2 linked regions of the Oryzias latipes genome follow. The protein of the gene in region 1 interacts with the protein of each later gene in a biochemical or structural test. Links are inferred from orthologs where the notes say so. Each region holds a gene or a part of one and is shown on either strand. Other genes may lie near its edges.

Evidence for each region.
Region 2: the proteins of matrix metalloproteinase-14 (region 1) and lum interact in a biophysical measurement, tested with the Homo sapiens proteins (2 studies listed by BioGRID and IntAct, with this or other methods). The link is inferred for Oryzias latipes from reciprocal best matches to the Homo sapiens genes MMP14 and LUM.

What each region holds. Positions count from the first base shown.
Region 1 is NC_019876.2:17,839,221-17,843,497, reverse strand, and holds the start of matrix metalloproteinase-14, read right to left. Parts: upstream 2,801-4,277; 5' UTR 2,540-2,800; coding exon 2,462-2,539; intron 1-2,461.
Region 2 is NC_019881.2:17,040,184-17,044,283, reverse strand, and holds the start of lum (lumican), read right to left. Parts: upstream 2,801-4,100; 5' UTR 2,671-2,800; intron 1,537-2,670; exon of another isoform or gene 1,534-1,536; 5' UTR 1,529-1,533; coding exon 655-1,528; intron 1-654.

The DNA.
Region 1 (4,277 bases):
AAACGTTAAGCCTAGAACCTGACCTCAGTCGATTCCAACAATCTGATCATGCTAATCAAAAACCAGATGATCAAAATCAGATGATGCAAGCTGGACCGGTTTACTTATGAACACATGTTCATCAGTTTCTAATTATCTGAGCCTGTTTAGGTGTCAAAAGCTGCCAGTCAAATCTCTGTTTTATTTGACCATGACAAGAGTTTTTTCTGAAAGTATAAACCCCTCCAAAAACGAGAAACGAAATGAAACCCAGATGTGTTTGGACCATGAAACATGTGTCTTCAGATGCTAAATTTCCCATTTTTGTAATGTGTTGGGAACTTGCTGTTTTTATTGCTGCCCGCTTCCTTTGGTCGTAGTGTCTAGCTAAGCATTTTATTAAACTTTAGCAAGGTTTGAGAGGGGGAAAAAATGTGAATGAAAATAATGTCCTGAGGCCAACTTCAGAAGAGACCATTTCATTTTCTGAGAAGTGAGGAAGTTTTACGTCTCTCTTGGTGGGGCTTCTTTTTTCACTCAACATGCATTAAATGGGTTTAGTGTGTCAGGATGAAGTCAGAGAAGGATGTTCTTGAATTGGGCAACACTATGACACCACAAAGTTCCTCTGAAACTTTGAAATGTGCTTTATTTGAAGTTTCTAAAAAAAAAACCTGTCATAAGGAGTTTCACTTCTGTTGAACACCATTGTTATTTTGTTTCAATATTTTGTTCTCTATCTGCCAAGTTCCAGTTTAGTCTTTTTTTTTCTGAGACAGACGTGTCTATCTTTTGATCACAGGTTTCTTATGCTGATGTAATCCTGAACCTATAATTAAAGTTGAGCCTCTTTCTGCATTCAGACTGACTTCAGGTCACTGGAGACTTTTGTGGAGGCAAACTTCACCAAGACACAACATTTTCACTTGATTCCTGATATGAGTGGGAAAAATGCAGTCTATTTCATCTCCACCTTGATTCCAAGATGTGATCTCAATTTGAAGCAGTCAAATTTTCTGCAATCTTGTTTCTGTTTAAACCATAACATGTGTGAGCTCAGTTCTCCATGGTGGGGGAGCCGGCTCCAGCTTCTTGTAAACTGTCTGACTTGCCTTTGTCTCGCCTTGTGGTCAGTGACTAAGGTCTGCTTTGGCTACATTGCTCATCCAGTGCCCACCCACAATGCAACACAGTCTCCTGCAAATGTCCTCCAATGCTACTTTTCTGCAGGAAATATGACTATTTGGTGTGCAGGGAAGTAACAATTCCTTATTGCAATGATTCGATTCATAAACTTATTTGTGGTTGACAATCCGATTTATGGTCGCTTCATTTTAAACGATCTAATTCGATCCGATTCACTGACCTAAAATCTATTCAGCACATCTTTGACCAAAAATTCAACCAGTGAGACTCAGAGATGAATACCTGGGCACTGAACAGCGCAAGTGAAGTTTTCCAGATTCCTTTGTTTTTTATGCAAAATAATCAAGTGTAAATCAAATATGTGTACAAACAAACAAGAAAACAGGAATTGATGGCAAATATGTTTACATTTAAGTTTCATAAATTTCATTGTTTTTCCACATCAAAATAACACAAACAGAACATTATTACAACATTCTTTCACACTGTATGGTCACATGTCAAATTTCCACACATTGGACAATAATGATGGCCTGATCATTTTTTTCCTGCCATCACAAGTGTGTTTGTCCGTTTTGATCCACTTGGTCACGTTTACATCATATTAAAATAAACCTATCGATCCTCAATCCAAATGGTATTTTCCAATATTGATATAGTCGAAATATTTCATGTTTGAAACAATTTTATATTGTTATAGATTGACATTATTAACAACTTGAATTGAAGGAATATAATCAAAGAAGTTGATTAATCGTTAATTGGTATATAAATCCAATTTCCTGTAAAATCTATGGTGCGATCTGGGTCATTTCAGATAAGCATCTCCGATCTGTGTTTCCTCACAGCTTTGCTGATTAAGATGTGACAGGGATCTTGCACAAAAATACCTTCAGTTCTTCTTTGACTCCTTAGGAGCACAGACATGTTGCGCAAGCCTTGTTTACCAAAGTAAAGGCTTAAATGTTAGTGTTTCCATGGAGCAAAAACTGCAGCCCCTCAGACCCTGAGTTGAAGCTCCTGAAGTTTGTGAAAGCAAAAAAGCTTCCAGAAATGGTGTCTCCTCAAACCAAACAGATGAAACCCATTAGCCCCCTCCCCCTTAGTACCACCACTGCTCCCCCTTTAGAACAAAGCAGCTCAGCTGAGCCGTGCAGACAAAAACAAACGTGGACACTTGAGGATTTATTTACAAAAATATGAGGAGGAAAAGGGAAAAAGAGGATATTAAAAAAAAAAAACTATCAAATTTACAAACTTCAAGCTCATAATTAATATGCCCTAGTTTAAAAAATGCATGATTAATTAATAAAAAACAAACATGGATCAGCCTTACCTCTGCTTCCAGCACATTTGCTGAGATTAAGCTCCAGCAGCAGAGCGCGCAGGTCAGGCCGAGCAGCTGCAGCCGCATTTCTGCCCAACTTCACCAACCGTCTGTCTCCCCGACGAGAAGACGAAACTGTCCTCACAGGCACCAGAGACGAGGAGGAAACCGAGCAGAACTGACTAACTCCACATCTGAGCGCACACAACAAATCCAGCGCAAAATACCCGGGACTTAGGGGGCTGTGTCTCTGAACCGAGCGCACGAAATGTTCAATAAAGTCAGAAAAGTCTACGCAGTAGAGCCTCAGTTCCTTTAGGGTTGCTCCGTGAAGGGAGGATATTGGTGAAAGATTTTTTTTCTGCGCAGGGTCCTCCTCCAGATGTGCGCACGTGATTCCACGGCAACGTCAGGACATCTGCCAGGCAAGTTCAGTCTGGATCTGAACAGTTTTCATGCAACAGGACAGCAAAATACCACACTAAATGTACATCTGTATACATTTAAGTCAACATTTCTTGTAAATTTCGTAAATTCCTATTGGTTGTTGCTGCATACAGATTGGGATCAAGAACGTTTATTTCTTATCTTACCTAATCGAGTGTTTGAGTTTTGAATAGTTAATATTGATGCTTTATATTATATTTTTTATGAATTTGTGTTATATTTCAAATGTTGAACAAACAATCACATCACATTTTAAGGTTCCCCCATTGGTCCTACTGGCCTAAAAAGTTCATCTCCAAAATCTGAACTTTTTTTTTTAGTTTTGAGTTTCTTTTTCTCAGGGCAGTTCAGTATCATAGTTTGGAAATGCACACAACTGTTTTACAAATGTACACATTCTGATTCACAAATATATATGTATGCAAACACGTAATACACTGTACATTCACATGTGCACATTCTTTGTTTCACAAATATAATTTTGAGGTACAATTATGATACTGAAATCACCCGATAGTCTTCTTCCTCGTCTCCCATTGTTGCATTTATAACTGTATGTACTGTATGTCTTCTAGCTGATGCTTTGATGTTTTTGTGTTAGTCCAACTCAGAGGTCAGAAACCTTTAAAGCCATTTGATCCAGTTTCTTACTGACCAAAACCCAGCGATAACTACAAAGTCCCACCTCTCCGTTTAGAAAAAATACCTTTTATCTATTTTTTGTGTTCATTTATTTTTTTCAGTTATTTAAAACAAAAAAAAAGCTTTTAAATATTTATAATAATTGTTAAATTATGACTGTTATATTTTTCTACACTTAACAATTTCATTTACTTTTGACAGCAGCACATAAAAGTTCCTTTCAGAATAAAATACATCCTGTGTCAAATCAGATTCTCCTACTGCAGCAGATTTACTTAAATTAGAAATTCCAGAAAGCCAAACATTACGTTTTTCTTGCCATGACTAGTGCACCTTCATCCTTTTTCTCCTTTTACTTCTGAAGATTAACAGAACACTGGTGTAAAATCCAATAGATGCAACTACAGTATATACTTTAAGAACTTTGCCTTTGAACAGCAACTGTTATGCAGCAGAAGATGGTATTTAAGCTCGTTCTAATAAAAAATATCAATGAAACTTAATTAACTAAAACACATTAATTTAAACTACAAACCCATTTGTTCAGATTGTTGGCATTTTTCTTCAAAGCCAAAGAGGGAAAAATGGGGTCGTGTGTGGCTCTGGAGCTTCAGGTTGCAGAACCCTAGTCTAACCCTCTCTCTTTTATATCCCACAATCCATCACAACAGATGGCCGCCCTTACTGATAAAGGTCTTTCTCTTCTCCATTCAGCATCATTCCACAAAAAACTGTC
Region 2 (4,100 bases), on another chromosome or scaffold:
TTCTTCTTTTTTTTTATGTGTACCAGTGCATGACTGCCAGCTACAGTGGAAGAGCGACATTTGGAAGCTGTGCAAATCACGCAAATCTTGCTCCAGGCTTCATCTTTCACATCTCTATGCTGATATGCAAAAGACTTAGTGTCATTGAATTCTGGTTGGGCACAAACCGTTATTATTCATTTGTCTTGCATGTTCAGTTTTCAAATTGAATTAAATTTTTAAGTGAAAGTAAAGGGGTGCCATTCATATGTCACTACCAAATCCCGGTCCTCCATTGGTCAAAGTTCAACCTGGTTTAACTTTTAAACGCACATTCAGTGGCAAAGTGTTTTGTACGTCGAAACGATTGTGGAAACTTGTGAAGCGACGTGTGAATGTGAGAGTTTGAATGCGGAACCCCGAAATGGGCATTCACATGAGTTTACATAGACTTTTGATTGGAAATGGTCGCTTGAACGTGCGTTGCCGAGGGCAGGATGAACGTAGCTTTCAATTTAAACTCAATGAATATTTCTGTTTTTGAATATGTGGCATGCTCATAAGGTAAGATGCTTTTTTTAAAATCTTTATAAAAACCGTTTGTGCTTTGTCATAAAATCTCCGAAGAACACCATTAAATCAAATATGATGACCTTTCCCTAAATCTCAACTTACTGTTGATCTCATTGGCCTGAAGGTAGAGTTGCTCCAGCTGCTCGTTGATTTCAGGAATGGACTGCAGTTTGTTGAAAGAGAGGTCCAGTTCAGTCAGGGACGTCACATTGAAAGCCCCAGCAGGGATTCCAGAGTCCACCATCTTGTTGTGAGAGATCCTCAGGTATCTCAGATTGGGTAACTTGTTCAGGTACCCTGATCCAATGCTTTCAATGTCATTGTGGTCAGCGTAGAGGATTTCTAGTGAGTTTGGGAGTCCAGTTGGCAGTTTCTTTAGCTTGTTGTAACTCACATCCAGGGACAACAGCCCCTTTAACCCCTTGAAAGCTCCTCCTATAGCATCAGAGGTTAACTCATTATGCTGAAGGTAGATGAAGGTCAAGTTCACCTTGTCATTCAAGAGCCCAGCAGGAAACTTGGACAACTTGTTGTTCATAATTTTCAGCTCATCAAGGGACTTTGAGGGAGGGATGACCGGCTCTGTGAGGTTGTTAAAGCTGAAGAACAGCTTCTCCAGGGCTGTGAGCTTATCAATTGTACCCTTCTCAATCTTCGGATTTGTGATCTGGTTGTTGTCAAGTATCAGCCAGCGCAGTTCATCAGTAACATTATCAAAAACTCCAGCTTTGATCTCTTCAATCATATTGTTCTGGAGGTACAGATACTTGATTCCTTTTGGGACCACCGGAACAAACCTAAGCTTGCGGTTATCGCAGTACATGGCGGTGGGGAAAGTGACTGGGCAGGTACACTCTTGATTACAGTTTGGCCCTGATGGCATTGACATGGAATGAGGCTGGTAGTCATAGTCGTACTCTTGGCATTGGGCAAAGCTGACCAGTAAAGCCAAGAGGGGTAGACTGAGAGGAAGCATGACTTCTGCTGGGGAGACAAAAGAGGAAAGGAGATTTGAAAAATATGTTTTTAGCAAAAAAAATTTTTTTTATTTTTTAGGACATAGTTTCTACAGAAGGGCACGAGTTCATTAGCTTCTGAGTTTGGGACAGGACCATTGGCATGGAGCAACCCCACCCTCCTTCCTGTCACCCAGAGCACCCTAAGAGCTTTGTTTACATGCTCTCATAGCCCAACATTACTGGTGCAACAAAAATGGCGAGCAATATTCAAGCTATATGTACAGTTTGAAGCCACATACCATCTCGGATTAGGAACACAAAGACGTAATGGATTTTCTCATCTACAAGTGGATGAATCAGAATGAGGCGGAGCAAGGAGCTCACCCAGCATATTTTGTACATCACAAATATGCTCTTTTACAAACTGCATTTTTTTCTTTTGCTCTAATTCACAACGATTTGAATAAAGACATACTCTGAAATGCATTTTTGAGCTTAATTTTATTTTTACATGCATGTCCTCCATCATGAGAAAATGCCCCAAGGACAAAAACAAAAAACACAATTTTCATCAGAGTGGATTTTCAAGAGCAAAATAAATCTACATAAATAAAATCAATCTGCTGTTCAATTATGGATAGGCAAACAACACGTTGGATTTGAAATTCTTAACAATCACATAAAAAAATATCAACAAAATGTAACCCCAATGGCTCCTGGCACCCAAGGGACACACATATAGTTCCAAAATCAGTCAAGAATTTATGTCAACCACGCTTGGACCAACAAATCCAGATGTTCGCTTTAGTGTCAAGCCACATTAAAGATTACAGCAGAACCAAAAAACACAATCTTAATAAAAATAGTGATCCAGTTTGGTGCAAAAGGTAAATGAAACAAATTTAGAAAAAGGTCCAACACTCTGAGCCATTGGAAGTGCAACAAAATTGACTTTTAATAGTACCGACCGATTGATTCTTGAGAAAAATACAGACACAAAATCCAACCTAACCTAAGCAGGTGAAACGTAAATACCAGTATTTAAACCTGTCCTTACTTTTGCTTAATTAATAACATGTATTTGCAGTATCAGCCTAAAACAGCAATTCCATCAGGAAAAAACAGACATAAATTCAAACAGGAAATCTCAAAGCCATACCTGTGCTTCTCTTTCTTTGTGTTTTTGGGGTGGAAGGCCAGGAGGTAAGAGCAATGTGGTGTGGAAAAACTGCAAATCTCTGGAGAAAAACAAAAAAGAGAAAAGAGGGGGAGGAGAGACGGGTTGATGGAGAGACTGAAGAGAAAAGGGGAGGGAAGAGGAGCGGAAAGATGGGAGGCTTAGCAAACAGGAGTCAGGACGTCATCCCGAAACCTTTGTCCAAAAGCCTGGTGGTAACTAACAAAGAACAGGTGCTGCAAAGAATTTGGAATATTTCAGCACATCTTTACCAACACTTCTTAGCAATATATCTGTGCACAAAAATCCAAATTTTTCTTATGAACAAATGTCCCAGAATATGCGTGCAGAACCTGAGCTTGAGTAGCTGTAGGAATGTTCTGGTAAAAAAAAACAGATGTGTGGAAATAAATATGCAACAACCTTTGGCAGCCATTATACCAGACGGCAGTTTTGAGGAGAAAATGAATTGAGCCGTGCCTCACAAGCTTTGGAAAATCTGACAACAGCACACAAAAACTGCAAAAGCAGACTTATGCAACACTTGATGCAAACATTTCATCTTCTCTTTTTGTTTTTGTTTTTACCAGGACGAAAGAAAAAAGACAATGTGAGGCAGAACCAAATGATTCCATATGCCAGTGGATTTTTCTATCTTTTAACATAGTTTAAAGCTCAGACTCATTGCGCGTATGGTACAAAGATGTGTTGTTCTAACAATAAAATAGAACAAAAGTCTGAGGTGCTCTTTAATCTTTTGAACAATTATCGTCAGATCATAACATGCATGTGGATTGAATTGGTCACAGTGTGGTCTGGTAGTCCACTTACATATCCAGTGATCAATTCAAAAATCCCTTTAGATAAAAAAAAATCTATCTGCAGAGTGTAACGGTAGATTAAGAGATTGGGATATGTTGTGCCTAAACTTTTATTTAAAACATAATAGTTTGCATGTCTTCTTTGTAGTTTTAGGACATTATAAAGCTTTATAAAGTTTAGTTGGGTTTTGGGTATTTAAATGTGAATTTAAAAAGACGGAAAACTTAGATTTGTTTCGGAAACTTGCTCAAAAACATTCCTTTTAGTTCTTGGTTAAAGGTTTTTGTGATACGTTGTGTTTTTTATTTTGATTTATTTCAGTTTTCATGTTTGTTTAGTCAGTTTTTTTTCTTTTTTATTTGTAGGCCTCGCTTAGTATCACACCTGTTTTCATTTTTCAATCATCAAACCTGTTTTCTGTTTGGTCATTACCTCTCAGTCTATATATAAAGGTTTGGTTTTCCTTCCATCTTTGCTGGATCTTTGTGTGTTTAACCTTTAATTAGGCTAAAGATACAAGGTTTTTGTTCAGCCGTGTTCAATTTCATTTATTTATCTAATTTCTTCTTAGTTCATAAATCAGGCTCAGC